Linked DNA regions of Notamacropus eugenii. The protein of the gene in region 4 interacts with the protein of the main gene of each other region in a pairwise test. Links are inferred from orthologs where the notes say so. Each region holds a gene or a part of one and is shown on either strand. Other genes may lie near its edges. The genes, in order: C4H8orf34, CCHCR1, CDKL3 and MTUS2.

Region 1 (6,854 bases), on a different chromosome or scaffold from region 4:
GTATCAACTGCTTTTCTTGTACCAAAGAGTTAATAATTGGACTATAACCTACTAGTCTTCTTCCTGTTCTCATTTCTGTGATTCTGTGAAGGATATGTAATTTCTTCACTCTGACAGCCAAGTTCTGGCTTTATCAAAATTGTTACAAGAAGATCAAGGTCCAGATATCCTTCTTTCTGAGGTCTTACATTTTTTTCTCCTAAAGATTTAAAGCCAATGTCTTATCAACCCCAGAAAGAAGATCACTTCATCAAGTCAGTCCAAGCTAGGAGAAATGCACATAATAGGGACCCAGAAAATAAGGGGAAAGGGGATCATGGATAAGAACATAAGAACTCAGAGCTGGAAGAGACTTTTGAGGTCATCTGGGTAAAATGAGGTAAGTGTTTAGTGAAGGATTTTGATGCACCATTATTTCAACTAAGAATTCAGTTGCGTTGAATAATGAAAACAGGCACTCAAGCCTACACGTGCATTTATTTGATTACATTAGTATGTCCCAATTTTACATAAGTACCAAACACTGTAATCATTCCTAGAACTGACCACCATCTACACTTGTGACATCTTTATAACAAAGAGATTTTTTAAAGAATGAAAACTCTCATCATCTTATTTTAAAAGCATAATGAATTCTGAGAGAACAGCTAGCAAAATACAAGATTCCTTTTCTTTGAGTTAAAACTAAGCTGTTCTTTAGATGTAGCTAACATGATGTGCTGGTGGAAAGACTATTCAAATAGTCTGTTTTAAAATCATACATGTGAAATAATGCATTGTGTGCAATAATTAGACTAAAGGCAAAGAAAAGAATTAGAGTTGCATCAATAACTCCATTCCCTCACAGTTGTGTTTTCAATTGTTACCTCTTTCAAGGGGGAAAAATGAAGACAATTACTGGACCACTATCCTCCTGTTCAAATAGTAATGCAGGTCAGTTGAAATCAGGCTAGTATTTTTCAAAGAGAGGAATAATGATAAATAACTTGGGTTTAAAGTAGTATTCACCCTTCCTTGTCAATATTAATTTTGTGATATCCAGATATACCTTACTGCAGTTCTGCATTTTATGACAATTTAAAAAGAATTAAAAGGTAGCTCCTTCACTTTTAAAACCACTCCTATTAGTTTTAAAAGGGGGTGGATGAGGGGTTCTAAATCATTGATCATAGAAACCTTTAAAATCATAGGTTTGGAAACAGAAGAGATGTTTAAGTGATTAGATTTTAGTCTAACTCCTTTCCATTTTACAAATTAAGAAACTGAGGTCCAAAGAGAGGGAAGTGAATCATCTTCCATAGATCGAATCACCAGTTCCCCTGGAATCTGCATTCATTTCCCTGCAGCTCACATTAGTTTGAATTCAGTCACAAGGAAACAGCCTAAAAGCGAAAGAGCTGTCTCTCCATTACTACCAGGGCACACGCCTCCCTGATGCCGGCTTCTGCTTCCCTTTCAGATGCAGCAGAGATGCTGCGGGAGGTGTGAGCACCACTGTTGTTTAGTGAGACCGACCCTCTTCCCCATGCTTCTTCCAGGAGTGTGCCTGGAGCCGGGCGGGCCGCTGAAGTCTGGGACTTACCAAAAGAGTGGGGAATGAGTAGTGGGTCCCCCGCCACGGCCTTCTCCTCCGCCCTCACCTCCGCCCTCCACTCCTTAACATATATACTGAACTGACTTAGGGACTGCAGTCTTCAAAGCACTCTCCCCACCCACCCCAGTGTCCTGGCAACGGATGGGACGCTTTCCTTCGCTTGAATTCCTCTGTCTCACAAACCAACAGGCTCTCTCTCTGCCTGGACCCATCTTTTTGGGCAGCAGCTTTCTTGAATCCTTTTCCCCCTTTTAACCAAATATGCGTCTCCCCCCGTCCCCGTGTACACACACACACACACACACACACACACACACACACACACACACACACACACACACACACACACACTGTCTGAGATTCAGTAGAATTCTCTCCAGCCCAGCCCATTTTGGGCCCCCGGCTAGAGTGAGAGTGTCTTCTTTTAAAGCCACCCCCACCCCATAAAGCTAAGTAGTATTTTCTCCAGTTCTCGCTCCTGCCACCTTCGTATCTCCCTTCAAAATCGAACAAACCTAGAGAGTTTTGAATACAGGGAGGTAGCGTGTGCATTATATTAGGAGCACACCAACGGTGGGCATGTGTGTGCTTTGTGTGTATTGGGCGGGGGTTGAGGGAGATAGTGCCCGCTTGTGAGGGTACCTGTGTTTGTGATTGGGGGACAGCATGCAGATAACAGCGAATAAGACAGCTTGGCATGCCACCAAGACGGATTCAACTTCCTCTGGCCCGCTCCTCCTGTCGATCTCACCTGCCTGCCCGGGGACGTCTCCAGCCCAGGTAACCTAGGAACAGCTCCCCCCACTCCCGCCCCCGAACCCCTTGTCCCCATTCTCAGCCTTGGGGGCTGTTCCTGAGCAAAATGCCTTGGTACCCTGGGATGGCCGGGGCGCCCCCTTCTGCCAGGTCCTTCTCCCTCCTACTCTCCCAGATGTCCATTTGGGTTTCTTTTTGATGTCCCCTCTTTTGCCTGAAGATGAATCCTCCAGCCCCGCCGCCAGAAAGCCTTACCTCAAACAGGGGACCTATTTTGTTCTTCTCCAGGTAAGCCTGGATCCTCGTTTGCTGATGATGCGCCATGGAGAGCGCCCGGACTGGGAGGGTTTCACGCCTCTCCCCAGTGCCTGGTCCTCTCTCCCTCCCCAGATGCCCCGAGATTACTCAGGCACCGACTCCGGCACTGCCGAGCTCGCTCTAGCTCTCACCCACCCCAGCAGACGCCGGCGCCCGCCCTTTCCCAGCACAGCCGGGCTGCCGGCTGGCGGGGCGGGGAGAAGATACAGGGAGAGAGGAGGAAAGGAGGGAAACACACGGAAAGCGGGGAGGAGCGTGGGCAGCGGAGAAGGCGGGGGTGGAGATAAGGGTGGGGGGAGCAGGAAGTCCCAGGCGTGATGCTAACTCCAGCAACTCGGTCTACAAGGGAACAACTCATTCATTTCATCCCGCCCCCGACTCCTTTCCCTAAAGGCACACCCAGAGAGGAACGACAATTAAAGAGAGGGGTTTCCTCGCTTTCCTTTGGGCATCTGGAGGAGAGGGTGAAGAAGGAAGGGGGGGGAGGAGGAGAGAGAGAGAGAGAGAGAGAGAGAGAGAGAGAGAGAGAGAGAGAGAGAGAGAGAGAGAGAGAGAGAGAGAGAGAGAGAGAGAGAGAGAGACTAGAGAGGAGGGATCCGTTGTGTGCTGGACCACATGGAGCGCACAGAGGGGAAAGCTGAATGACCCCAGGGCTCCTGGCAGCTTGGGTGGAGTGGCTAAACAGCAGGTACTGAAAAAAATCATAAGCTACACTTTGCAAATCTAAATCAACAGTCCTTTCAACCTTTCAAAATACCTGGCTTAAATTCTTCCTTAAAGAAAGATAACAGTCTAAAAGCAGGGATTCTGCGTGTGTGTGTGTGTGTGTGTGTGTGTGTGTGTCTCCTGTGTGCGCCTCTCTCTGCTACTTGGTTACTGGAACAACAGCCCAGCTCTCCCCAGCTGCTGTGCTTTCACTACCAGCTGCTCCCTAGCGACAGCACCTCTCAAAAAGCCAATAGTGAAGGTGCTTCTTTCAAAGTGCACATAAATCTGGTGCTTGTTGGCTACTCCGAGGCAGTCTGCAAATGCAGATCTAAACCCCTCCTCTCCAATACCCCCTTCTTTGCTTGTCATTCACCTATGGCCCTCTGGAAAGTGATTGCAAGAGGGAGGGGTGGGGGTGGAGGTCGGGGTGGGAGTGGGGGGAGAAGAGGTACACTGTGCCAGGAGAAGACTCTTGAAACGGTTAGAGAAGTACTGATCTCGATTTTGCTCTCAGTTCTCTCATTCCTTTATATTTAGAGTTCTTAACTTATAATACAGTTATCATTTTATTAAAAAAATCATGGATCCCATTTCAGTAAAATTAGCTTTCTTCCAAATCCTATGTTTCATTGTATTCATTTAAAACATTATTCAGAGAAGGGATACATTCATAGGCTTCCCAAGATTGTGAAAAGGCTCCATCACACACATTAAGAATCCCTGCTTTTAGATTGGTACCCTACCTTAAGTAAACAGTCAAGCTGAGCATTTTTAAATGTGCTTAGTTTAAATTTGCAAAGTGTGGCTTATGATTCTTTTTTCAGTACTTGCTGTACATCCTCACAGCCTATTCAGAAGTTTAAGTTTGCTTTAATGACTTAACAAACCTAAATAGAAAATACTAGTGAATTTCTTTCCAGTGTCTTCTTGTCTCCCAAATGTTCATCCACCAAGGTTTGCATTTATGAAGTGGTGAAAATTGGTTTTGAGAAAAAAACAGTCATTTCTTCTACATTCTTCATTTCTAGGAATAGGATATAGCACAGAACATCATTTTCATGGCCCCCGAGTTCAGGGAACCACTAAAACAGGGGTTTAAGAACATCGTTGTTGTTTCATGCTGTTTCAGACCTTTTTAATGGTCCGATGAGGCATATGTACCCCTTCTCAATAATATTTTTAAACATATAAAATACATAGAATTACAAAAGAAACTATAATATAGTTACGAAATATTTAAAAATTCAGGGAGCCCAGGTTAAGAATACCTTTACTAAAAGGTGATATAATTTCAGCATTAGCATCTTTGGATGTTTTTCTTAAGAGGAATGCTTTACTTTCACTTAAATTGTAGCCCTAAAAGGCACTTAGCTTTTTGCTATATGTCTGAGTGACTAGAATTCAAATATCTACTTATGGGTGTTATTTTATTCCCTTAGCTTTTTAGTTATTTCTCCTCTGGGGAACATGCTACAGTTATGTGAAAGTCTATTCTCTCCAAGGGATAACATGTGATCTTAACTCAGAGATGAGATAGAAACTCCTCTAATGATCAGGGACTTTAATAAACCCAGCAATTTATCCATGAACTTCTAATGATTTTGTTTGAGGATGTCTAAGCTACCTGCTCTAAATGCAGTACTCTCACGGCCCGCCTATGTGGATTTAAATTCAGTAAAAACAGATTCATTCTATATAGTAAGCAAGAGTCTGACACTTTGACTCTAGTGGTCTCAATATATTTTAGGTGTCATATAAAATGAATTAAAGAGTTGGAATTAATTATTTATAAGGTCGCTTGTGGTTCTAAAGTCTAGTGAGCCCATATGTTTGCATGTGTATAAACATACACAATTATTTTTTCTGTTGTGCTGTAAGGAAAGGAAATGAGAAGCTAAGACTTAATAAGTTACTTATTAGGATAGCGAGTATGATTCAAGGTCCGCCATGAGGAAATATTTAAATGACTACTACTTTCAAGGAGAAAAATAAAAGTTAAAACAAAATATAGTACTGAAAATTCATGACTATTTCTGAAATAAAGGGCCTGGAATTTTTAGGAGACGTAAAATGATGGCTTTTGCCAGTCAATCAGTTAATAAATTCTTAACTCTTTGAGAACATTGTACCGAGGCCCTGGAATATAGAAATTAGGGCCCTTGCTTTCAAAAGGCTTAGGGATTGGAAATTATTTAACAATGAATAACATTAAAAAAATTCATGAATTATATTACAATGATTATCAAAATTTACAGCAATATGATCTTCCTTCTTTCCTTAATATTTTCCTAGATTAGAAAAAAAGTAATTGAAGATGTTAAACACACACATTCTTAAGTTCTGTAGTCATGTATATTAATAGCATCACATCTTAGTCTTTTTTTTTTCTGGTGTATCCTTTTCTTCCTTTCAAGTCTTGTGAATACACTGCCTTGTCCTCATTGTATTAGAGATATGTTTGTCAAAGCAGCTTAGAAGTGCATATAATCAAATGCCTAGAATACCTGCTGGTCTTTGCTTAACTCCATCTGGAGGACACCCATCACAGAACCTGAAGCAAATGAACTAGTGATTGATACTTGCCTTTGATGATCATAGATTTAGTCCTGAAAGGGACTTTAGAGATCAACTCTTTCATATCAGAAAAGAGGAATCTGAAACCCAAGGAAGTTAAGTTACCCAGTCAGGGATTTTAATTCAGATCGTCAGACTCTGTTTCCAGCATTATTTTCTCTATGCCATTCTGAAAACCTTAAGAGCCTTTGGGTGACACTCAATTAAGGAAGCATCAGGAATATGATCAATTGCACTTAGCTATGAAATACTGAATTCAGTTTAGAGGGAAAGTATCTTTCCAACAGTATGTTTCCAGCAATTTATACTATGACTTGAAATGTATTTTAATTAAGCATGATTGTTGATTTTGTTGAGAGGAATTTGTGACATACACCTTTTTACATAACACTTTTATCTTTTGTTGAGATTAATATAGAGGATTTGATACAGATTTGATATAGAGCCCTGGATTTGGTACTAGAGAACCTTAACTTATGGCCCAGTTCTGCTGTTACCTTCTCTGAGACATAGTTATCTCAGTTGTATATTAAGAGGGTTGACTTATGTGACCTTTAAAATCTCTTCTAGTTCTGTCTATGATCCTAGGGGCCATCTCCAGTCATCGTGATCTATTTCTTGTCACTGGATCCAGGTGGCTTCGGAAGACTGTGAGGCTGGTAACTTTGCACAGCTCTCTCTCACTTACATCTAATTCACTTGCATGTCATGGCATCACCTTCATGATGTCATGGTCCTCTTCGAGAATGAAGGACAAACACAAGTCTATAATCTTATATACATATGATCTTGATACCTCTAGAACAGAGCCAATGTCAAGGCAAAGGATGAGAAGAATGATCAGCAGTGAGAAGTGATAGAAGAAAAGCTAAGAAATAGATGGAAGGTGGATTTCCTCAAAATA
Region 2 (7,005 bases), on a different chromosome or scaffold from region 4:
AGGGAGGGAATAGTGATGGAAGAAGACATGTTAGGAGACTACAGCAATATTCTAGGCAGATAGTGTTTGGGGTCCATTTTAACATGAGTTCCAAAAGGAAAATAGGTAGAATATTTGAGTACTAAGAAGTAAATGAAAGTTTTGGGAGAGAAGCAGGATATCTGAATTCTGAGAAGTGGGGAAAGAGAACAAGGAGGATGAATGGAGAGAACCCTATCCTAACAGCCCCAGCCTGCTTCCTTCAGGTTCTGCTTTACTCTCAATTCTCAACATCTTCCTGGCCAAGCAGATTACTATTCTAATTGAATATCAAAGGATCTTTGCTAAAGTGATTATCTCAGATTAATTCCCTACCATGTGGAACTGAGACAAATCCCAACTAACACCTAGTATTTTCTTATTCTCATTCACCTGTTCCTTGTGCACCCTCTGAGTCTCTTCAAGCTCTTGTCTGTTTCCTTCTTCCAATTTCTTCCGAATGAGCTCTGCCCCAGCCAAAGCAGCACGAAGCTCCTCCACCTCAACCCGCATTGCCTGTTTTGCCTGTCCTAAGACTTCCAGCTCCTCACCCTGGCTTGCCAGATGAGCCTTCTGATGGACTGAAGCCAACCGCAAAGCCTGGCTCTCAATCTCAAGTCTCCGAATCTCTTCCAGTTGTTGAGAGATCATTTCAGTTCGGGAATTCAAGCCTTGTGGCCCTACATAGTCCAGGGACCTTTGGGGAAAGTTATAGGTGAGATATGGCCTCTTTGGTCTTACACAAGAAAGGGATGGACAAGAGGGCCGCTCTGTTTCCATCTAGGTAGTTATGAGGACTTCTCTGATCTGATATGTAAGGATAAGGAAGTGAAAAGGGTGCCTCGGGGGAAACTGGAAGTCAGTCAGACACACAAGAGGATGCAAAACCTGGAAACAGTAAGGATTCTGTGATCTACTCCTTAAACATTTACTTAGCACTTTTTATGTGTAGGATACTAAGCTAGATGCTGGGGATACAAAAAGGTATGTACCATAATCTATACCTTTAAGTGTACTTAACGGGCCTTATCCTAGTTGAGGGAAGGCATTCACATACGTAAAAAGATAACAGTTGCATCTATTGCATAGTTGCATCAATTAAGTGTACCTCATGAATGGTACAATGAGTGCTAGGATATCTGATTCACAAGTAGATGAAGACATTATGAATCTAAGAGTTCGGCTTGAGGTGGAAAAGGAAGGGATACTCAGTCTTCTGTGCTCTGGTTTGAGAGAATGAGGAGCCTGAACTCCAACCTGAGGTAGGGGCAGAGAAGGCAATGGATCCTCTTGTTCTAATGTGACAAGAATAGGGGCTGGTTAATAATTTATTGAGCATTTACGGTATAAATTCTCCTAAACCTTCTGAGAGGAGGCAATAAAAATAAAAGACATGATCCCAGTCCTTGAGAAACAGCTCTAATATCATCACAATGTTATTTCAGAATCCATGGCTGCCTTATAACAAAGTCCTTTGGTAATTCAGGAGCAAAAACAGTAGCGGACAGGATCTAAGATAGACCTGCCTGTAACTCCACTCTAAAATCAATAATTTTATTAAGACATTAAATTTAGAAGAGTCAGGATATACACGTGAGACAAGAAAAAATACAAAAGATCAAATAATACAGTTCAAATTTCATACACAAAAGCAGAAGGTACACAGAATTTTAAAAAATCAGAACTGTTTGTTTTCTATCTTTCTTACAAGGGAAGGCTTGTGGGGTAAGATAGGAGAGAAGGGTATATATGGAAATTAATGGAAAATAAAAGAAAAATCCATCAATTAAACTTTTAAAAATAATTAACACAGAAGTGAAGAACAATTACAGGCAGAAGCTAGAATAACTAGATCCCTACCTGGTCCTTCTTTTGGGATCCTCACTATCACCTGCCCCATCTTGTTCTCTCAAAATTTGTAGTCTATGATGCTCCCATCTACGATCATTGTTATCATAGCCGTGATGGGGTGAAGGCAGGACTATGGGTAAGGGTGGGGACTGGACAGAAGTGGTCCTGGACATGCTTGGAAGGGGCCGTGTTTGGAAATGAGATGGAGGCATGAGCCCAGTGAGACCTGAGTAAGCAGAGGACAGAAAGGTCAATATTGAAGGTATAGAAATAGGGTATGCAATCTCCAATTCCATAATCCATCCCTATCCCTTTTACCTGAAGACTGGAACATCCCAAAAGTGGATGGGGGTTCCAGGTTCTTTCTCCAGCCATCCATTTTTTCCTGTGGAGCAAGAGAAACACCTCAAGCTCCAATTCATTTTCCAAGGTTCCAACCAATCCCTGGGAAAGATCCTATGATAACCTTGCCAATTCCTTAGGTAATTTAACATCTATCCAGTTATCATTTCTTTCCTTCCCCTCCCCATCCCTATCACCCTCATTTTTGAAAGTGACAAACTGGAACATCTATGAAATAATCAGTGGCTGGCTCCCACCTAGCTTTGATAAGAGACTCCATAACACAAAACCCACGATAAAAAATAATTTTCTAAGGGAAGCAGGATCTAGGATTAAGGCCTCCAGACCCCTGAAGGTCTACATGGCATTCATAGGACTTGGGTAGCGCCTTTCTCTCCCCTTTGGGCTCTACTTTTCTTATTCTGTGATCTGAAGGTGAGTGAGCACGTACGGAATTAAAGGGCTAGGGAAGCAGCTCCACTGGATGGTTTGCTCAGGGTGGCCCCGGGGGTTAATCCCCTCCCCCCCACCATTATTCCCAACACTGATTTCCCACTCCCCATCAAAGAGTCAGCATACTGCTTGGCACCAGACGAAGTCTGTAAGATGCAGAGATCTCGAGTTACCATTAACAGCAAAGCAATTTTCGGAACCATCTTCCTGGGTGAGCAGGAAGTCTAACAGTCCTTTGCCCATGTGGGGCCTTCTGCTCATCTCTAGCCCCTGTTAGTTTGTCTTTCATCCCACCCTGATGCTCTCACTTTCTCTCTCTATGGCGCTTACCATCCACTCCAGCCGCCCTCCTCCCCGCCTCTCCTGCACCCCCGTGCCCCGCCCCCTCTCTCACCCACTTTGTTCCCCGTCCTACGCTCCCCCCTCCCTCCCTCTAATTTGCTCGGCCCGGGTCCCGTCACAATTGCAGCTCTCTGGCCGCCCCTCAGCGCCCCCGCTTCCCCCAAGCCTCCCCTAGCTCCTGCTCCCTCTTCCCCGGGCCCTTCGTGTCCCTCCTCGCCCCGTTCCTCGTCTCTCGGTGCCCCCTCGCCCCACGGCCCCAGACCTCCAGCACTTCCTTTGCCCTGCCCCTGTCCCCCTCAGCTCCCTAGTGCCCACGTTCCCTTGCCCCCCTCCACCCCTTCCCGCCCTCAACTGACTCACTCTCGTGCCCCCTTACCCAGCGCGAGACCCCACCCTCCCCTTGTTGCCCCACCTCCGCCACAAAGTACCCCGCCCTCCACAGACTGACCGCGCTTGCGCAGAGCGGGCCAGCCGGCGGGCTCCGGGACCCGCGTACTTCATTCGGAATGGGGAGGGAGGGAGGACGAATCGAGACACGCAAGCGCCGTGGCGTCCATATGGTGAACCAATCCAGGGACTCGGCCTATCCCCGCGCCCTTACAGATCCCTCCTCCCCACCGAGCTCCTCCTCCTTTCCCTGAAACCCGGGAAAATTCAATGGCCAATCGGGAAGCGAAGAAAGCGGTCGCGCCGGGTCCTTTTTGTGCCTTTCCTGACTACCGCCCAATGGGGTCTGGGCGATGGAATGAGGACTGTCCAATGGGGAAATGGCATCGGGAGGGGGCGGGGTATCTGAGGCGCGCGGAATTCGGGCCCGGGGAGTTTGCGAAGGTGTTGGACGCTCGCCTGTCCTCGGAGGCTCCGCCCAGCTCCGCTCCGGGCCCGGCTTCTGCCTGAGCCCTCTGCTTTTGCTAGCCCTGTCAAACTTCAGCCCGAGCGTGCGCGCGGGGGACAGGGTGGGGTGGGGGTCCTGTGGAGGGGGGACTGGGGTCCTAGCCTCCTCGGTCGAGGTTTGTATTGCCTGAGGGAGGGGCACGGCACGCTGAGATTGTCCGGCACTGATTGATCCGAAATTAGGCTGCCCGGGCTGGGGGGACCCGCGTTTGCATTGCTTCGGAAGCAGTAGGACCCCAGGTTTGCATTGCACTCCAGAGGGGAGGGAGGTAAGGGATCTTGCTTCGCTTTACTCCAGAAATAGGGATCCTCAGCCCGCATTTCCGGGGTTGCAGTCTTATCACCTTGAAAGGTTCTTAAGCCCCCTGACAAGAGTGAGGTGTTGAGCCAGGAAAGTTGCGGGGGGAGGACCTCTGGAAAAGTCCTTTTGAAAGAAAGGGCCCCCTCGCCCCCAATTGCACCGAATAACTAAGTTATTATTAAACAGTGGTGGAAACCGGCCTCATTACGATCCCTACTGTTACATTGTACCAACTGAGTATACAATAGTATCCAATACTCCGGGTGTTAGTTAGTTTCACGGGTTACGAGCCGGTCCTTAATTTAGCCTGATACATCTTCCCTAGTTTTGCATTGCACCGGGGATGACACCTTAATTTTTTTCTTTCAAGGCCAAGTTGTCCCCCTCGGTTTGCGAGCTGAATACCTTCCAAATTTTCGTTGTACTGAACCGAATTGCACAAGAATTGTACTCCAAGTTTGCATCTGAACATCTCTCCATTTTTAATTACCCAAGGGTAGAAAGAGCTATGTATTCCCTGACTTTAGAAGGGAGTCCATAGGGGAAAGCCCCTCCCCCCATGTTGCCCTGCTTCCAGCTGCTTCGCATGGGGGTTGGGAAGGGTGGAGATCTCTATACTTTTCACCCTCCCACTGGGGCTGGCTGTACCTACCACTTGGGCCTCAGAGCTGACCTGTGTGATGTGGCCCTTCGGCCCCAGTGTGAGCCTGTCCTCATCTCCCCGGTCCATGCCAAGCTGCATGCTGAAAGCCAAGGTGACGACTGGAGAGTCAGCCTGGAGGACTGCAGTAGCTACGGTGAGCCTGGACGTGGCTGGCTCTCTTTTTAGGCAGATAGGTATAAATAGGTATGGTATGATTTGAGAAGTACCCTAGGACCCAATTGTCATTGCCACTCAGATTCCTCCTCTAGATTAGACAGCAAAGATCAAAAGACTTAAGTTGTCTCCAAAAGGTACCTGCTGTCTGTTAGGGTGATGTGCTATATGTGATATGTGTGTATATGGATGAAAGCCTTTCAGAGCAGATTAATTCCATGGTTGAGTTATGAGATTAGTTCCATATTTATATTTTATTACAGAATTGTTGCATTTATCCCATGTCACTTGATCTTTAAAACAATTGTGTGAGGTTTCCCCATTTTATAGTTTTCTGAGATTCAGATTAAGTGACAATTCATGTTTCTATAGCACTTTAAGGTTTATTGGTCATTTTCCTACCAGCAATCCTGTGAAGTGTAGGGTAAATATTATAATCTTTGTTACAGGGACTGCTTACTAGGTAAGGGGATACAAATAAAGAAACTGGGTACTAACTATGCTTTGCCCAAGGTCACATAGTTAGTAATCGTCAAAAGGTTACTAGAGCTCACTCTTTCACACTCCATACACACTGCCTGTGTTTTAGCAGATCAGCAAGCTTGCTCACCTTGGAAAGTATAAAACAGGTCCCAAGGGAACTGTACACAAGATAACAATTTTATTGCGGAGCAAGAAAAAAGGGGGTGAGTGGGGTTCAGTTCTAGAAGAGAAGAGAAAAGGCAGGGAAGCTCTGGCACAGGTTTTCCAGGAGTTGGCAATGAAATTAAATAAATATAGGGACTTTTTAAGATCACATCTCCAAGGTACACTCCCTCTGCTGCTCACTATTAGTCCAGGTTCCCAAGGCTTTAGTATTTTTCTTTGTTACTTTGGCCTGACCATGTTGTTCAACCGTTTAGCTGTCTGACGTTTCATGCCCTCTGGACTTTTATCCAGGGGTTTTCTTGGCCCTTGCAATAGCCATTTCCTTCTACAGTGGATTTAGGCAAACAGATTAAGTGATCTGCCCAGGGTCACACAGTTTAAGAGACCAGATTTTAATTTAGATCTTTCTAACTCCCAACCTATCCACTGAGTCATCTAGCTGTCAATAGATTTCAGGAAAGGTTCCTTTTGATCCAGAAGATTTTTTAATGTTTGACCCAAAAGAAATAGGAGGTTTCTTCTGTGTCTCAGAAGCCTCAGGGAAGCCCTAAGGTCCCTATTGGTGGGAGGGGGGAATCCCAAAACTAAGATTGTCCCTGTTTGGAACAGGTCTGGGTGTCTAACTAGCCCCATTGGTTTCTTATTGTCAGTGAAGACTGAGTCTTTACAGAATATGATTTTAAAAGGACAGGGGAAGAATTACTAACTCTTTCCATTCTGTGCTAACTTTGTTAGGAAACCCCCAGGAGCAGTGAGCTGAGATGATTGGGGGAGCCAATCCCTTCAGTTTACCTGGAGCCAGGCAGGATAGGAAACTAGAGAGAATGCCTAGTTATGCCTGTGAACTCATCATTTATAGAATCAAGGTCCTGATTCAAATTCCAGCTTGTTTCTTACTTTGTGTGTTATGGAACTCTGGGCTGGTCCCTTTCCCTGCACTAAAAGAATGATTAAAGCCCCTTTTAGTTTTAACAGTTTACAAAACAGTCCCTGTTGTCAAAATGCTTGAGGTTATGATCTGAGTGAAGCTGAAATGGGAGGAGAGGATGATTCACCTTAGGAAATTGGCTATCCTACATGACTTTTTGACTGTTATCTTTGTCTTGCCTTCCTTTCTCTGCCTTTCTTCTCTTCATCTGTTTTTCCTTCTATCTCTCTCCCTCTCTTTCCCTCTCTCTCTGTTCCACTCTCCTACTTACAGGTACCTTGGTCAACAATGTCAGGCTCCCCAGGGGTCACCAACTGGAACTGAGTGACGGTGATTTCCTAACCTTTGGCCCTAAGGGGCCTGTGGGAGCCAGCCCTCCTGAGTTCTACTTCATGTTCCAGCGTGTCAGAG
Region 3 (6,953 bases), on a different chromosome or scaffold from region 4:
TTCTTCACTGTAAAAATCTAGTGTTGGATGACTTATTAAAGTAGTCTTAGGATCATAAAGTTTAAATGACTTGCCCAGTCATGTAGCTAGTTTCAGTGATAGGATCTGAACCTAGATCTTTCTAACTCCAAGGCTACCTCTTTATGCTACCTCTTGTATTCTCCACAAAATGATACCAACTCCACTCTCCTTTTCATTGTATAGAATAAGCCATTTATTTAGGGCAGAAAATACCTATACCTTTCTTCTTACAAAATTGGTCATATCTAACGTATATCCACATGCTGGAGAAAGAAATGACAAATCACTCCAGTATCTTTGCCAAGAAAACCTCAAATGGGGTCACAAAGAGCTGGACATGCCTGAAAAACAATGTAGATCCACAAAAAGCAAAAATATTATTTTTGTATTAGACAAAGAAAAAAACTGCCTCCCTTATAGGTGATCACTATCTTTGCTCTGCATATAGCTCAAATTAAAATAAGTATCTAGACAACTATATTCTTAAATTGTTTTAAAAAAAGAAAAGCACTACCTTCTAAACAAAACTCATAGAATTTTGTTTCACCCTTCCACTTCATATCCTAATAACTAAATATATGCATAAGTATTTTAAGCATTACATGTGCATTTATGCTCTTCTCTCATCTAATTTTTTCCCCTGTATTTTCTTGATTTTATGATTTCAAAGATCACTTCTATACAGATCTGCATCTCTTCCCATCTCAAAACTGAATAATGAAACTTCAAATGCAAGGAGTCTAAAACTGAACTCATTTTCCCCTTCAAACCACTTGTTCCTAGACAGTAGTGATGCCATAATTCCCCCAGTCACTCAAGACTAGCTCTGGAACACTGAACTTGGGGGTCAAAAGATTTGGATTAGATTCCTATTGTTGCCTCCTCAAGCCTGTTTCTTTTTCCCTAAAAGAGGGATAATGACACTTGCATTACCTAGGGAATGCAAATAACTTTTTAAAAACTTTAAGAACTGCAAACAGTTATCTTTGGCAGCAGTCAAATCAGGTTAAATTCTTCTGAGGTTATTACTTCCTACGTTTTTGTCTCCTACTCAAAGAACTTTAGCGTGAAATTTCAAAGTCCACCACAATCTGGCCTCAATCTAACTCTCCAAGTCTATCTTTTCTTACCCACTGAAAACGATCTACCTTCTATACATTCCTATTTCCCTACTTTTTCTGTGGAGGTTACCCTGGCCAGAAATACCTACCCTTCTCTACTTATCTGAATCCTACCCAACCTGTAATGTCCATCTCAAATTCTAACCTTTCCCAAACCACAGGGCTCCTAAGAACCCCTTCCTTCAGCACTCATGGTACAACTCATTTGACATTTACACTTTATTATTTATCTATCTGCCTCCTTTAACTGTAAATTCCTGGAGAACAGGGATTGAATCTTCCCTCATGGTTTTTGTAGACAAAAAGTTGAATTTTTGTGAAAGCATGTTACATGTATTATAATTTCAAAATACCTACTTTCTAAAACTTCTCTACAGCTTTTCCCATAAATCATAAGAGGTAAACAATAAAATTGATATGGCACTTCTTTTTTCTACTAGTACATGGATATATATATATGTATATACATATGTATATACGTACACACCCAAACAGCACATAATTATGTCAATATAGCCTAATAAGGAAACAGCTTTTATTTCCTAGTCATTTCTCTTGACTCACATAGCAATTAAGGCAAAAGAAGCAAACCTTTAGAAACTTTATTTCTCTCATTGCAATTTTGTTGACAGATTTTTCCGGTTTCTCATAAAATATCTTAATGGCCACTATCTGCCCAGTATCCTTATGTTTGCACTTCATGACTGTTCCATAACTTCCTTCTCCCACTTTTCCAAGGGTTTCATACATCTCCATTTTCAAGACTGGTTTCTGGTTCTTCACGGAAATAAAGAGGGGGGAAAAAAGACAAATGTTTATACTTGTACTTGCTCCAGGCTGGAGATCTATTTCTAGAACAAATCCATTCGCACCTGAAGTTATTCCTACAGAAAACAAAGAATTTTGAGTATTTAGAAGTCTGTGAACATCTGGTCCCAAATACAAGACGAATAAAAGAAAATGCCGAAGTTTTCTCCCTCCCCCAGTTTCTGCCGTCCTTCTGGGGCACTGCCACAGGCGCTCCCCAGGATGACCTGGTGATTCTGCGCCCAACCGTCCCGGTCCATGCCTTCAATCCTGCCCATCACACGACCTCTGCCATCACCCACTTCCAGCCGGGGGCTGGAGGAACCGCAGTCCTATCTCATCAAACGTGGGGCTCCCATATTGACCCTCCCCCAACAAACCTCGAACCTTCCACCTATGCTCTTTCTACGACCTTCCCCAATCTTGAAGGTGCCAAGGTGGGGCTGGCATCCCACTCCCACTGCGCATACCCACCTAGGCCTCACTTCTCCTGCCTCAGCCCTCGGGCGGGTCTCAGTCCTCCAAGCGCCCGTTATCTCCTCCCCCCCTCCAGGCTTTACAACCCCCAGGGAGTCCCCCCAGGTAAGACCCTTCTACTCCGCTCCCCGCCGCACCACCTCCACCCCCGATCAGAACCTCCCTCTTCAAGTTCCCAGAAGCCTCAGGCCCCTCACGGGTCACGGTAGCACTTCTGCCCCAAGCTTTCCCCCCTGTGCCCCGCCGGGGTAATCTCTCATTACCTAGGCTCCCACACTGCCTCAATCCTCCATCCCCCTCATCAAACCCGCGGTTCCCAGGCCCCGGCCGGGCCAGGCCCGGCGGCAGCATCCCCCTCCGCTCCGCCCCGCCGTTGACCTGGTCAGGGCAGCCGCCGCCGCCGCCTCAGCCCATCCTGCGGCCCCACCGGCCTGGCTCTGAGCAGTCGCAGCCCCAGCCCCAGCCGGCCGCGACCACGCGGCCCCGCCCTGCCCGCCTGGCCTACCACCCACTACCATGGCAACGGCGGCAGGGCGGTGACGGGGTGCGGCGCGCGCAGGACCGGAAGCTTCTGGATCCCCACCCCCGGTTCGGAACGGCAAGCAGCGAGGGACAGAAGAGTAAAAAGAAGGTGGGCGCGGCCTGGGGGTTAGGGGGAGGGGTGTGGTGGGTGTGGCCGCGGGAGAGAGGGCAAATGGGCTGGAAAAATGTCCTCGTCATCAGCCCCTTCTCGCGTAGTCGTTGGAGCCAGAGTGATTTCTGTCAAAGGGCAGACGGGTCAGTGACTGGAAGAATGTTGGCCGAAATGTAAGGATTCGGGCGTAAGAATCCAAAATGAAAAACCCGGGCTCGGCGGAGGGAGAGCCGGAGAGAGGCGCCGGCGGGGCCGGGACAGCCGGGCCGGGAGGGCCCGCGACGATCCGGACTTCAGCGGCCTCCTCTCCGCCCTCCCTCCCAACTCCTCAGCCCTCATTGGAGAAAGAAGGAAAGGCAGCCAGCCCCCTCTGTGGGAGGTGGGGAGCGCGGACCACGGAAGCCCGGCCATCACGACCGGTCATTGCACTTAGCAGTCACCAAGCTTGTACTAAGAGCGTATGCACTAAGCGCTGGAAATACAACGGGGGAAATGGGGGGAACCGGCCCCCGAAACAAAGCCCTGTCCCCCGCCTCAGAGAGCTCACGTGCGCACGGGGAAACAACACGCTGATGTCTCTTTTTACCTCCAGGGGCACAGTGAGGAAGGTAACCTCTGAGGAAGCCCGAGCCTGAGCTGAAGGGGCCGAGCATTTCCAGGAGGGGGACGTGGAGCTCGGAGAACTGGAGTTCATGGGCCACTGTAGGATGTGGTGCAAGGCAGGAAGCAGCCGGATTAGGAAGAGCTTTAAATGCTGAAAAGGAGTTTATAGGGAGAAAACTGGAGAAATGTGGGAGAAAATGGAAAGCCATCGGCGCTCACCTAACAGGAGAGTGACGTTGGGATCAGATCCAGTGCTTGGCATTGGAGTCGGAAATACATCATTGAAGCAAGAAGACTTCCAGTCATTAGAAGGCTGTGGTAGTAGTCCCAGATTATGAGGGTCTGAACTAGGCTTGGGGTTGTATGCGGGCAAGAGAAGGAGATCTAGAGGAGTGATGTTTTGAAAAGGCAAGTGTGGTAATGGGATTGATTGAGGAGGCAAGGATGACACCAAAATTGGGAGCTTAGGTGATTGGAGAATGGCATCCTCAACCAAAAGGTTGGGAAAAGGCTTGGAGAAAAGTAATGAGTTTTATTTTGGACATGTTAAATTTGAGATGCCTACGGTTCAGACTATCCAAGAAATAGCTGGGAGTGGTCAATTCTGACCTAAGGCTGGATATGCAGATTTGGAAATCATCTGCATAGAGAAAATAATTCAACCCATGGGAGCAAATGAGATCATCAAGTGAGAGTGTATTAACTGTATTAAGCAAAAGGAGGGCTCAGGTTGGAACCTTGGGAGACACCCACATTATTAGTAGGTAGGAAATGAAAAACCAGTAAAGGAGACTGAAGACTAATTAACATAGGAGAACCAGGTAGAGTGAAGTAGTTGAGAGAAGATAGGTAAATAGGAAGAGCTTGACTCAGATCCTGTCTCTGGCAAATACTACAGTTATGATCGTAGGCAAATCACTTCATCTTAGTGCCTCAAGGTTAAAATTAAACTACTAGAAATTGCCATTGTACATCACTGGAGGGAGTTTCTACCCTGGGAGCTCCCCACATTGATGAAATCACAGGTCTGAACCAAAACAAGAGGAAAGACTTTCTGGATCATTGTCTATGTGGCATTTTGAGAAGGATAAAGGACTGATATCTGTATGTGTCATAGGGTAGGAGGAAATATGGATGTGCTTTTGTGAGTAAAATGTCCTATTTTTTCTAGAGGAATGATTTTAGCTATGTTGCACAGCTCAGATTTGTTTCCTACAGCTGCTAATCCAGAGCTATGGTAAGAAACCTTTCAGAAAAATGTGGGTTTCCTTTCTGTTATTCACAGCCATGGCTATACTGGTGGAAGTGTTACAAACAACATTAGCAATCCCCACAAGAAAAACCAACTGGATGAAGAATATTTATTGTTCAGGTTATCCATTGTAATTGTAGTTGGATGGGCAGTCCTTTGAGTTAGTCCATGATTACCTATATATCTTGGAGAAAAAAAATGTTTAAAAAAAGGAGGAGGAGGAGGAGAAGAGAAGAAGAAGAGGAGGAGAAGAAAAGAAGGGGGAGGAGAAGAGAACGAGAGGGGGAGGAGAACAAGAGGGAGAGGATAAAAAGGAGAAGAGACAGGAGAAGAATAAGAAGAGGAAGAGAAAAGAGGAGAGGAGGAGAAGGAAAGGAGAAGAGGAGGAGAAAAGGAGGAGGAAGAGAAGGAGGAAGAGGAGAGGAGAAGAATAAGAGGAGAAGAGGAGGAGGAGGAAGAAAAGAGGAAGAGTGGTGTGTTCTGGATTTTCTGGAAAATAACTGTTTTTGACACAAAACTGCATTTAGAAACATTTAAAATATTGCAACAGGGAACGACCTCACATCTTTGGCATCTGTCTCTTCCTCTTTATTCATGTGCCTGGTGTCCTAGTTCAGGTCCTCATCACTCCTGTCCCCTGGACTATTCCAGTAGTTACCTAATTGGTTTCAGTATTTGACATCACTATACAAACATTTCATTCCAGTCAAACTGGTGTATTTGTTCCCGGTACTTGACATTCCACCTCTTACCTCTGTGCCTTTGCATGACTCTTTTTTTCCATGACTGGAATGCCACCCCTCCTGATCTCCTCTTGGAATCTCTAGTGCCTTTCGAGGCTCAGCTGAGGTGCTACCTATTACATGAGGCCCTTCCTCATCTCCTCCAGTTGTTAGTGTCTTCCACCTCCCCGCTCCCCAAATTACTTGTACCATTTACTTTATATATACTTTATATTAACTGTTCGTTATATGTTGTCAGTGGAAAATAAGCTTGATCTTTGTATCCCTGGTGCCCAGTATAATGTTTTACACACTACAAGCAGATGATAAATACTAGAATTGCATCAGACCAAAACTTTATATTTCACCTAGTACCTCTCATGGTACTCATCAAAGTAGTTTTTAATAAATGTATATTATATTATTTGTGATACTTTCATAAAGTCCAATAATTGTTGATGCTCAGTGGTTCAGCTGTATCTGACTCTTTGTGACTCCATGGACCATAGCATGTCAATACTGTCCATGGAGTTTTCTAGGCAAGGACACTTGAGTGGTTTGCCATTTCCTTCTCCAAAAGCAAATAGAGGTTAATGCTCAGGGCCACACAGCTAGTACACCTCTGAGGCTGAATTTGAACTCTGGTCTTCCTGTCTCCAGGACCACTAGCTGCCTCTTTGATGTTAGCAAATAATATTAATGATAATGTCACAGCTTACTTAAAACCCAGAAGACACACCCCTCCCTGCTTCCTCATGCTTGACTCTGATCTCTGGGTCCTTTGCAACTACCAGATATAAAACATTAAAAGGGGAGAATATATGTGTGAAGGGTATTAAGATCACACCTTCAAGCTCTACTCAGAAAAATAAAAGTCTTGAATTGGGAACCTCTTCACTGAGCTCTAATAAAATAAATGGAGTCCAACTTTATTTACAAAGCACTTTCAAAAAGGTATGTTGTATTTCACATACCATATATAAAAGACTGTGCCTCATCTATACTTTTTATAGCTATCTTTTTCTTTTAAAAAATACATTTCATTTTTTTCATTAGCAAAAATTTCTACCTTCTCTCCCTCCAACATCAACCCACCTCCCTCCAGTTGAGAATGAAAAAAAAAACCAAAACAAAATCCATTACAAACATAATCAAGTAAAACAAATCTCTCCAATGGCCACATCCAAATGTCCAAATTGATAATTCTGTACTATCAAGAGTCTCATCACTGGTTTTTTGAAATCATTACAATGATCAGAATATTTAATTCTTTCAAAGTTATCATTATTCTCCAGTTCTGTTCACTTTGCTCTCCA
Region 4 (7,667 bases):
TAGCATTGAAATCTTTAGAAAAGGGCTTACACATATAATGAGACATACTTATGTAATCTTCTAGACCAGTAATTCCCAACATTTTTTTGTTCCATGAACCCCTTTCAACAACAACAAAAATGTTTTGAATCCCCAAGGTAATTTAATATACTACTCATAATATTCTTCACAACTATTTAGTGCTTAAGGAATCATTAAAAAAAATTTGAATGCAAACTCCTTGGATCATTGTTAAGAACCTGGATTCATGAACAACCCAAGGGGAACCATTATTGTAGACATTGTACTTATCTCTCCACTTACAGAAATAGTCCTCTAATTTATTACAGTATTGGGTCTGGTCAACTGACACCAGGCATCCCTGTTTCCCTATTTTTGACTTTAATAATATAGTTTGCTGGCAGTTACAAAATAGCCAAACCTGAGTTTCATAAAATACCTTCAACTCAATCATACCTTTTACCTAAGACTCCACATAAAACATTTGCTGAAACCAGACACAAAATATCTAAATCTAGAAGTGTTAGACAAAAATTATAAGACAAAGAAGTTTTTTGCACCCCACTCAACTGTCTGTGCTATTTTATATCAAAGGCAACAACCAGTTTTATATTTGATAGAGAAAATAATGAAATGCTTAATGACTATTGGTTATGTTATTTTGTAAGCAAATAAAAATAATTACACTGCTGTCTAATCTGTCACTGATGTCTCCAAAAATTAAAAGAGACTATGGCATATTCAAGTTTTAAAAGTCAGATCCTGAATGTTGGAAAGAATTACAAGTTACAAGTATTTCACTGAAATAAAGATCTAGTATATTTCCAAAAAGACTACATAAAAAGTATATGTAACAATTCTTCAGTTGTCCTTTGCAAAACTTTATTTTATCCATCTTTAATTACTATTGGAAAAGCACAGTAGCTCCTGAGTCAAGAAGGCCTGAGTTCAAGTTCTTACATCTCTAATGCAAACTATCTGTATCAAAATCACTTAACCTTTCAGTGACATGCAGGTAACTAAGTTTATACGTCACAGAGTAAGTGTTCAGCTGCATTAATAAGCAGTTTCCACGCAGGGAGTTCCCTATACCAACGAACTCACATTTCTGGGACCCCCGAAAAAATGGTATCTTTCCTTTCCATTTTATTTTTTATATTCTTCTTTGCTTCTGTAACCAAAGTGAAATCTGTCACACAAAGTAAAAGAAAAAATTTGATCCACACAAACCCACAATTAGTAATAATACAAACTGTTGTGCATCTTATCTGTTGTCTTTTGCCAAGTATCACCTGTTGAATATTTGTTCTCCTGATGATTGCAAGTCAGTCAACAATCCCTGCATAGAACTGGTCACGGTGATGCCTGATGAGATACACTCAGAGCAGGATTGTACAAGTGTGTGGTTTGTAGGGTTTGTATTTCACTGTCTAGCCAGCAAAATACCTAATCTGATTAATCATTAAAAGTGATGAAAAGGAACCAGAAAGTCCTTCTTTTATCTGAATCCACTTTTAGTTGAGTTACTTTAACTAGCAAGGAATATTACTAAATTTCCAAAAATAGCCTCTAAAAAATGTTATCAAAAATTTTTGAAAACCTTGTAAGTTCTGAATTCTGTTTCTACCACTATCATGGTAACAGTCAAATAATTTTTACCCGACTTTGCGACTTATTGAACAATATCTGTTTCATTTAATTCTCCTAAATGCTTTGCACTGTTATCTGCTTTATGCCTCAAGTATTCTTCCCACGGTTGAAATGCTGTCTAAAACTATCCTATACCATCTTAAGAGAGGACCTCAAGCTAGACGTGATCACCCCTTCTGGCACGCTTTTGTTTTGAGGAAGAAATGTTCTTAGCTCTTCTCTCAGCTTCCCCCTAGAGGCCTCGGTGATCACTTTACATTCTAACCAATGAGCAGGTATTTTTAAATGTACTTGCATAACAGTGAGTATGGGTTTCTTCTGGTATCCTGCCAGACACACTTATTCCCCGTTTGTATTTAAAATAGAACGGTAGTACCATCACTCTCATGTGCCAGAAATCCCTTCTGTGCATATCCTCCAAGCTAAATCGTATGTATGTATGAAAAATAAAATAGGTCTCATTATAAAGTTCAAAGGACTTAGCATGACCATGCTAAATTAAGAGTACGGCGGCAGACTGTAGCATCCCAGGCCGGGAGGACACTCCAGTCTTGGAACTAACCTATCCCACCCTTAGGAAATCCTTGTGTTACCCAAACAGTCAGCACGTGTGTGCCCCATATAGCCATATATGCTTCGCAATCGCCGACACCATTCAAGAGGGAATCAAAAAGCTCCTGCATCTCAGTTATCTGCATGCGGGGTGCACAGGGCAATTCTTCTTGCAAAGGGGAAGGGAGGAGGTGCCTTATTTCGGGGTGGGGGGAATGGGAAATGCCTACTATGGTCTAAACTGTTCCCTCCCACACCCATGAACGTGGGAGCCAGGGCCAAAAATAAAGACACAGCCCAGAAGATCCCCATCGGTTACCCTAGTCTTAGCAATTCCAGAAGGAAGCGAGGAAGATGTCCAAAACTAAGCGCACGACGACACTTAATTAGGCTGTAGCCAAAAGCTAGGACCCGGACCCCCATCTCCAAGTGTTTTCCAGTAGTTGGGGGCTGGAAGGAGGCGCGGGGTCTTGCTGAGGGTCCGAAGTTTCGGAGGGGGAAAAGGTCATTGCGGGTGCCCAGGCAGAAAGAACTTGCCAAGCGGTCCAGGAAAGGAGGGGCGAGCCGGGAGAGGGAAAGGAATGGAGCCACACCTGGGCTGCACTTCCAACAACTGTCACCACCAAACACCTCCCACGCATCCCACACGCAGATGCCGAGCGGAGGCAGCAGCAATCTCGCAGCCGCCCTAGCGTCAGCCCGACTCCCCACCTAGGACTCACCTGTCCGCGGGTACCCCCCGAGGAAGCTGCGGCCGCTCGACACGGGTCTCCAGGCGCGCGGCGCAGAGCCCGGGAGAAGGGGCGCAGAGCGGTGGAGGGTTCCGAGGATGCACCTGGTGCCGCAGCAGCAGCAGCAGCAGCAACTCCCCCTCCTTTCTTCCCTCCCTCCTTCCTTTCCCCGGACAAAGAGAAGCAGCGGTAGAGGTGGAGGCGGCGGCTGTGAAGCCGGCGCCTGGAAACGTGCGGCGGAGCCGGTGTCTCTCGCTCCAGATTTACTGCCCTCCCTTACAGCTTGGGGAGCGGGCGGGAGGGAGCGGGAGGCGTGCACACCCCCACAACGCGGCAGCAAGCACGGAAAGCAGAGGGCGCCTCCAGCCACCCAGCGGTGCCCAGGGCTTGCTGTCGGCTGCAGCCGCAAGCCTGGAGATGAGCGAACAGCGCCCTCTGCAGCCCCCAAACCCCCGGCGATGGAAGCGTCGGGAACAGCGGCCCCCCAGGTACTTTGTGTTTTTTAACCCAGGCACCTAAAAGCATGGGCGTTTTCATTCGCACCTCTTAAGCGCTTGGGGATCCTGGCCTGGCCCTCTGAACTGCAGAATATTTGTGTCCCGACAAAGGAGAAAATAATAGAGGCTCTCCTAGTCAGGCTGTGTATGCAAGTGTATCACTATCTAGGATGTCAATATCAACTGTAATTAACATTTAGGATAGAAGAGGCGGTAAGTTTAAATGCTAACCAGAAGAATTTAGATTTGGCACTAGGAAGAACTTTAGACTAAGGTTTATGAGAGGCAGGAACGTTCAGTGAAAGGATGACTTGTAGTATTATTAAATATTGTTAATAATACTGTGTTTTATTCTGCGTTCCTCCTTCGTTTTCGAAGAAGACCATGACATCAGAGAAATAACGACGTGACTTGCACTTGACTTTGTTTTGAGTGAGGGAGGGCTGTGCATACTTTATGCCTCTAGGAAAATATAGGAAGAATTATGTGTATATTCTTTTCTTAAGCAGCTAAAGATGCTTACACCTCATCTGGAATACTGTGCTTAGTTCCAGGCATTACATTCTAAGCATCTGCTTAGGAAAAGAGTACACAGGTTTTCCTACTATGAGACATAAGTCCCTCTGCAATAATCCAAAGGGTCATAGCAACATAGATTTAGGGATGGAAAGGATCTTAAAAGTCCAACCCTCTCATTTTGCACATGAGGAAACTGAGGCCCAAGAGGAGAAGTGAACCACCCAAGGTTATAGCAGTGATAAGGAGCTCACCCAGATTTTTAGTTGATTCAAAATCCAGTATTCTTTTCACTCCACTACCATCATCTCAACCTTCTCCTTTTAGCTGGCAGGGCTAGGAACACAATATGGCCACACTACTCAGTTTCTATTTTTGAACCGTTCTATAAAGTCATTTCTAATATTAAGCCAAAAACCTGACTCCCTATAATATCCAGATTCTGTTCTCTGGATCCAAGCAGAATCTCCTTTTACCTAAGCTTTAAATATTTGAAAATAGTCACCATGTCACCTCTGAAATCTAAATGGTCCCCAGTTCTTCCAGGACATATTTTCAAATCTCTTCCCCATTTTAGTTGCCTTCCTCTGAATCCAATTCATTTTGTCAATGTTCCCCTTAGAATATTATACTTAGAACTGTATTCCAGATAAATTCTAACAAGGGACAAGACCACTGAGCTGACAGCTCCAACTTTCTGCACAATAGAATTCTATTATTACCTTTCACACCTTTTGCTTGACACAGTACCCCTATTTACTCATCGACCTGACTAAACCCCTCCATGTAAAACAATTTTAACAATCATTTTTTAAAACTTTGAGTTCCAATTCTTTTCTTCCCCCCACCCTGTTCCCTCCTTCTTTCTTGAGAAGGCAATTTGTCATGGATAATACATGTGAAGTCATGTAAAACATATTTCCATTAGTCATGTTACAAAAGAAAAGACAAAAATAAAACAAGAAAAATAACGTGAAAAGGGGTATGCTTTGATCTATATTCAGAGTTCATCATTTTTCTCTCTGGATGTGGACAGCACTTTTCCTCACAGGCCCCTTGAAATTGTCTTAATCAGAGTTGTGAAGTCTTTCTGATACTATGCACAATGTTCTCCTGGTTCTGCTCACTTCACTTTGCATGAATTCATTCATGTAAGTCTTCCCAGACCTGGTAACTGTATTGTTGAGTCAGAGATTACACAGTTTTATAACTCTTTGAACATAGTTCCTGTTGCTCTCCAGAATGATTGATTAGATTAGTTTGCAACTCTACCAACAGTGCATTAGTGTCCCAGTATTTCCACTTCCCCTCCAGCATTTGTCATGTACCTTTTATTTCATATTAACCAATCCAATAGGTATGAGGTAGTTCTTCAGAGTGGTCTGAACTTTTATTTTTTTAATCAGTAGGGATTTAGAGCATTTTTTTCTTCTGAAAACTGCTTGTTCACATTCTTTGACCATTTATCAACTGGGGAATGGTTCTTATTTTGTTGAATTTGATTCAGTTCTAGTTCTCTATATATTTGAGAAATGAGGCCTTTATTTAAAAAAATGCTGTAAATTTTCCCTCAATTTCCTGTTTTCCTTCTAAATTTGGCTGCATTAGTTTTACTTTGTGCAAAAGCTTTTAATTTCATGTAATCAAAATTATTTATTTTACTTCCCGTGATCCTTTCTATCTCTTGTTTGGTCATAAACTCTCCCTTTATCCATAGATCTAACAGGTACATATTTCCATGCTTCCCTAATTTACCTTATATCACCTTTATGTCTAAATCATTTATTCACTTTGGTTTTGTTTATGTATATAGTATTAATGTTGGTCTGTGCCTAGTTTCGGCCAAACTGCATTCCAGTTTTCCCAACAATTTTTGTCAAATAGCGAGTTCTTGTCCCCAAATCTTGGATCTTTGGGTTTATCAAACAATAGATTATTATGGTTATTTACTTCTCTGTATTTGTACCTAATCTATTCCTCCTATCCACCACTCTGTTTCTTAGCTAGTATCAGATTATTTTGATGATTACTGCTTTGTAATATAGTATGAAATATGGAACTGCTAGGCTGACTTCCTTTACATTTTTTTCATTAATATGATATTCTTGATCTTTTGTTTTTCCAGATGAATTTTTATTCATTCATTATTTTTCTAGCTCTATAAAATGATTCTTTGGTAGTTTGATTGGTGTGACACTGCATAAGTAAATTAATTTAGATAGAATTATCATTTTTATTCTGTTGGCTCAGTCTACCCATGAGCAGCTGATATTTCTCCAATTGTTTAGATCCGTCTTTATTTGTATAAAAATATTTTATAATTGTGTTCATATAATCCCTTCATTTCTCTTGGCATGTAGACTACCGAGTATGTTATATTGTCCGAAGTTATGTTAAATGGAATTTCTCTTTCTGTGTCTTGCTGCTGGACTTTATTGGTAGTGTATAGAAACAGTGATGATTTATGTGAGTTTATTTTATAGCCTTTAACCTTGCTGAAGTTGCTAATAGTTTCGACTAATTTTAGTTGATTTTCTAGGATTCTCTAAACATACCATCTGCATAATGATACCATATGATATGATGCCATAATGATATGATACCATATCATCTGCAAAGAGTGATAGTTTTGTTCCTTCATTGCTTAGTTTTATTCCTTCAATTTCTTCTTCTTATCTTAGTGTTTCTAGTACATATTGAATAATAGCAGTGACAATGGACATCTTTGCTTCACCCCTGATTTTATCGTGAAGTCTTCAAGTTTATCCCCATTACTGATAATGCTTACTCTTGGTTTTAGATAAATACTACTTATTTTAAGAAAAGGTTCATTTATCCCTATGCTTTCTATTGCTTTTAATAGGAATGGGTGGACCCTCAGCTCTTTTTTAAATGATCTGCTGTCAGGCCAAAAGTATTCATTCCTATGCTTGTGGAATTAGTGTTTTTGAAACCAAGTATAATTCTTTACATTTATTCCCAATAAATTTCATCCTAATGGATTTATTCACTCATTTCTATCTACCAAGATTTTTTTAGGATTCTGATTTTGTCATAGAGTATATTACCTGACCTTTCTCAACTTGGAAATAAGGGATTCAATTCATTTAAATATTAATTAAGTGGAACTTTGTGCCCAGCATCTTGATGGGCACTAAATTGTTTTGCCTGCACAACTCCATGGTACTCTCACTTGATAGTGCTTTTACTTCCAGCCATATTCCATAACTAGAAAGCTCCTAATTTCTCTGGAAAGAATGAACCTGGGTCTGGAGAAAAACAGATGAACTGACAAGACCTAATGATGAATTATCACAATCTCTAGTTTAATAAAGTTTATATTGAAAGTAGAATGGAAGGTGGAATTTTTCTACATAAATTAAGAAAATGAAATGATTATGTTTAGTCCCCGAGCACTAAATTAAAAAAACAGGTGTTTCCTGTTTCAAATGAAGCAGCTCTTTAGAATTTCATTTTTTTAATTATGGCAAAGAGTATAATATGTTTTGAAAATAAGGCAATATTTTTACTTGCCATTCCAGAGAGACCACAGGGGAAATGTTGAGAATGCCCTGTGGCTTTTACTTTGATAGCTCCTTCCCCCATTTATAATTATTCTTAAATCTCCACTATCTTAATTAAAAAAAAAAACTTTACTCTCCTGCACCCTGAAGCTACCAAGCCATGTCTCTTCCCTCTGATTATCAACTTTCTGGATAAA

The links.
Region 1: the proteins of MTUS2 (region 4) and C4H8orf34 interact in a two-hybrid assay, tested with the Homo sapiens proteins (2 studies listed by BioGRID). The two-hybrid records come from large-scale screens. The link is inferred for Notamacropus eugenii from reciprocal best matches to the Homo sapiens genes MTUS2 and C8orf34.
Region 2: the proteins of MTUS2 (region 4) and CCHCR1 interact in binary tests that used the Homo sapiens proteins (3 or more experiments, as listed by UniProt). The link is inferred for Notamacropus eugenii from reciprocal best matches to the Homo sapiens genes MTUS2 and CCHCR1.
Region 3: the proteins of MTUS2 (region 4) and CDKL3 interact in binary tests that used the Homo sapiens proteins (3 or more experiments, as listed by UniProt). The two-hybrid records come from large-scale screens. The link is inferred for Notamacropus eugenii from reciprocal best matches to the Homo sapiens genes MTUS2 and CDKL3.

What each region holds. Positions count from the first base shown.
Region 1 is NC_092875.1:288,735,670-288,742,523, reverse strand, and holds the start of C4H8orf34 (uncharacterized protein C8orf34 homolog), read right to left. Parts: upstream 3,001-6,854; 5' UTR 2,675-3,000; coding exon 2,606-2,674; intron 1,663-2,605; exon of another isoform or gene 1,583-1,662; intron 1-1,582.
Region 2 is NC_092873.1:85,013,145-85,020,149, forward strand, and holds the start of CCHCR1 (coiled-coil alpha-helical rod protein 1), read right to left. Parts: upstream 3,023-7,005; 5' UTR 2,998-3,022; coding exon of another isoform or gene 2,995-2,997; 5' UTR 2,926-2,994; coding exon 2,791-2,925; exon of another isoform or gene 2,663-2,790; intron 2,255-2,662; coding exon 2,188-2,254; intron 2,096-2,187; coding exon 1,879-2,095; intron 716-1,878; coding exon 412-715; intron 1-411. Other genes in the region: TCF19 (transcription factor 19), read left to right, coding at 4,761-4,998, 6,868-7,005. UniProt on the Homo sapiens protein: May be a regulator of keratinocyte proliferation or differentiation.
Region 3 is NC_092872.1:340,836,728-340,843,680, reverse strand, and holds the start of CDKL3 (cyclin-dependent kinase-like 3), read right to left. Parts: upstream 3,006-6,953; 5' UTR 2,778-3,005; coding exon 2,690-2,777; intron 2,030-2,689; exon of another isoform or gene 2,027-2,029; coding exon 1,734-2,026; intron 1-1,733.
Region 4 is NC_092876.1:197,081,493-197,089,159, reverse strand, and holds the start of MTUS2 (microtubule-associated tumor suppressor candidate 2), read right to left. Parts: upstream 3,015-7,667; 5' UTR 2,925-3,014; intron 1-2,924. UniProt on the Homo sapiens protein: Binds microtubules. Together with MAPRE1 may target the microtubule depolymerase KIF2C to the plus-end of microtubules. May regulate the dynamics of microtubules at their growing distal tip.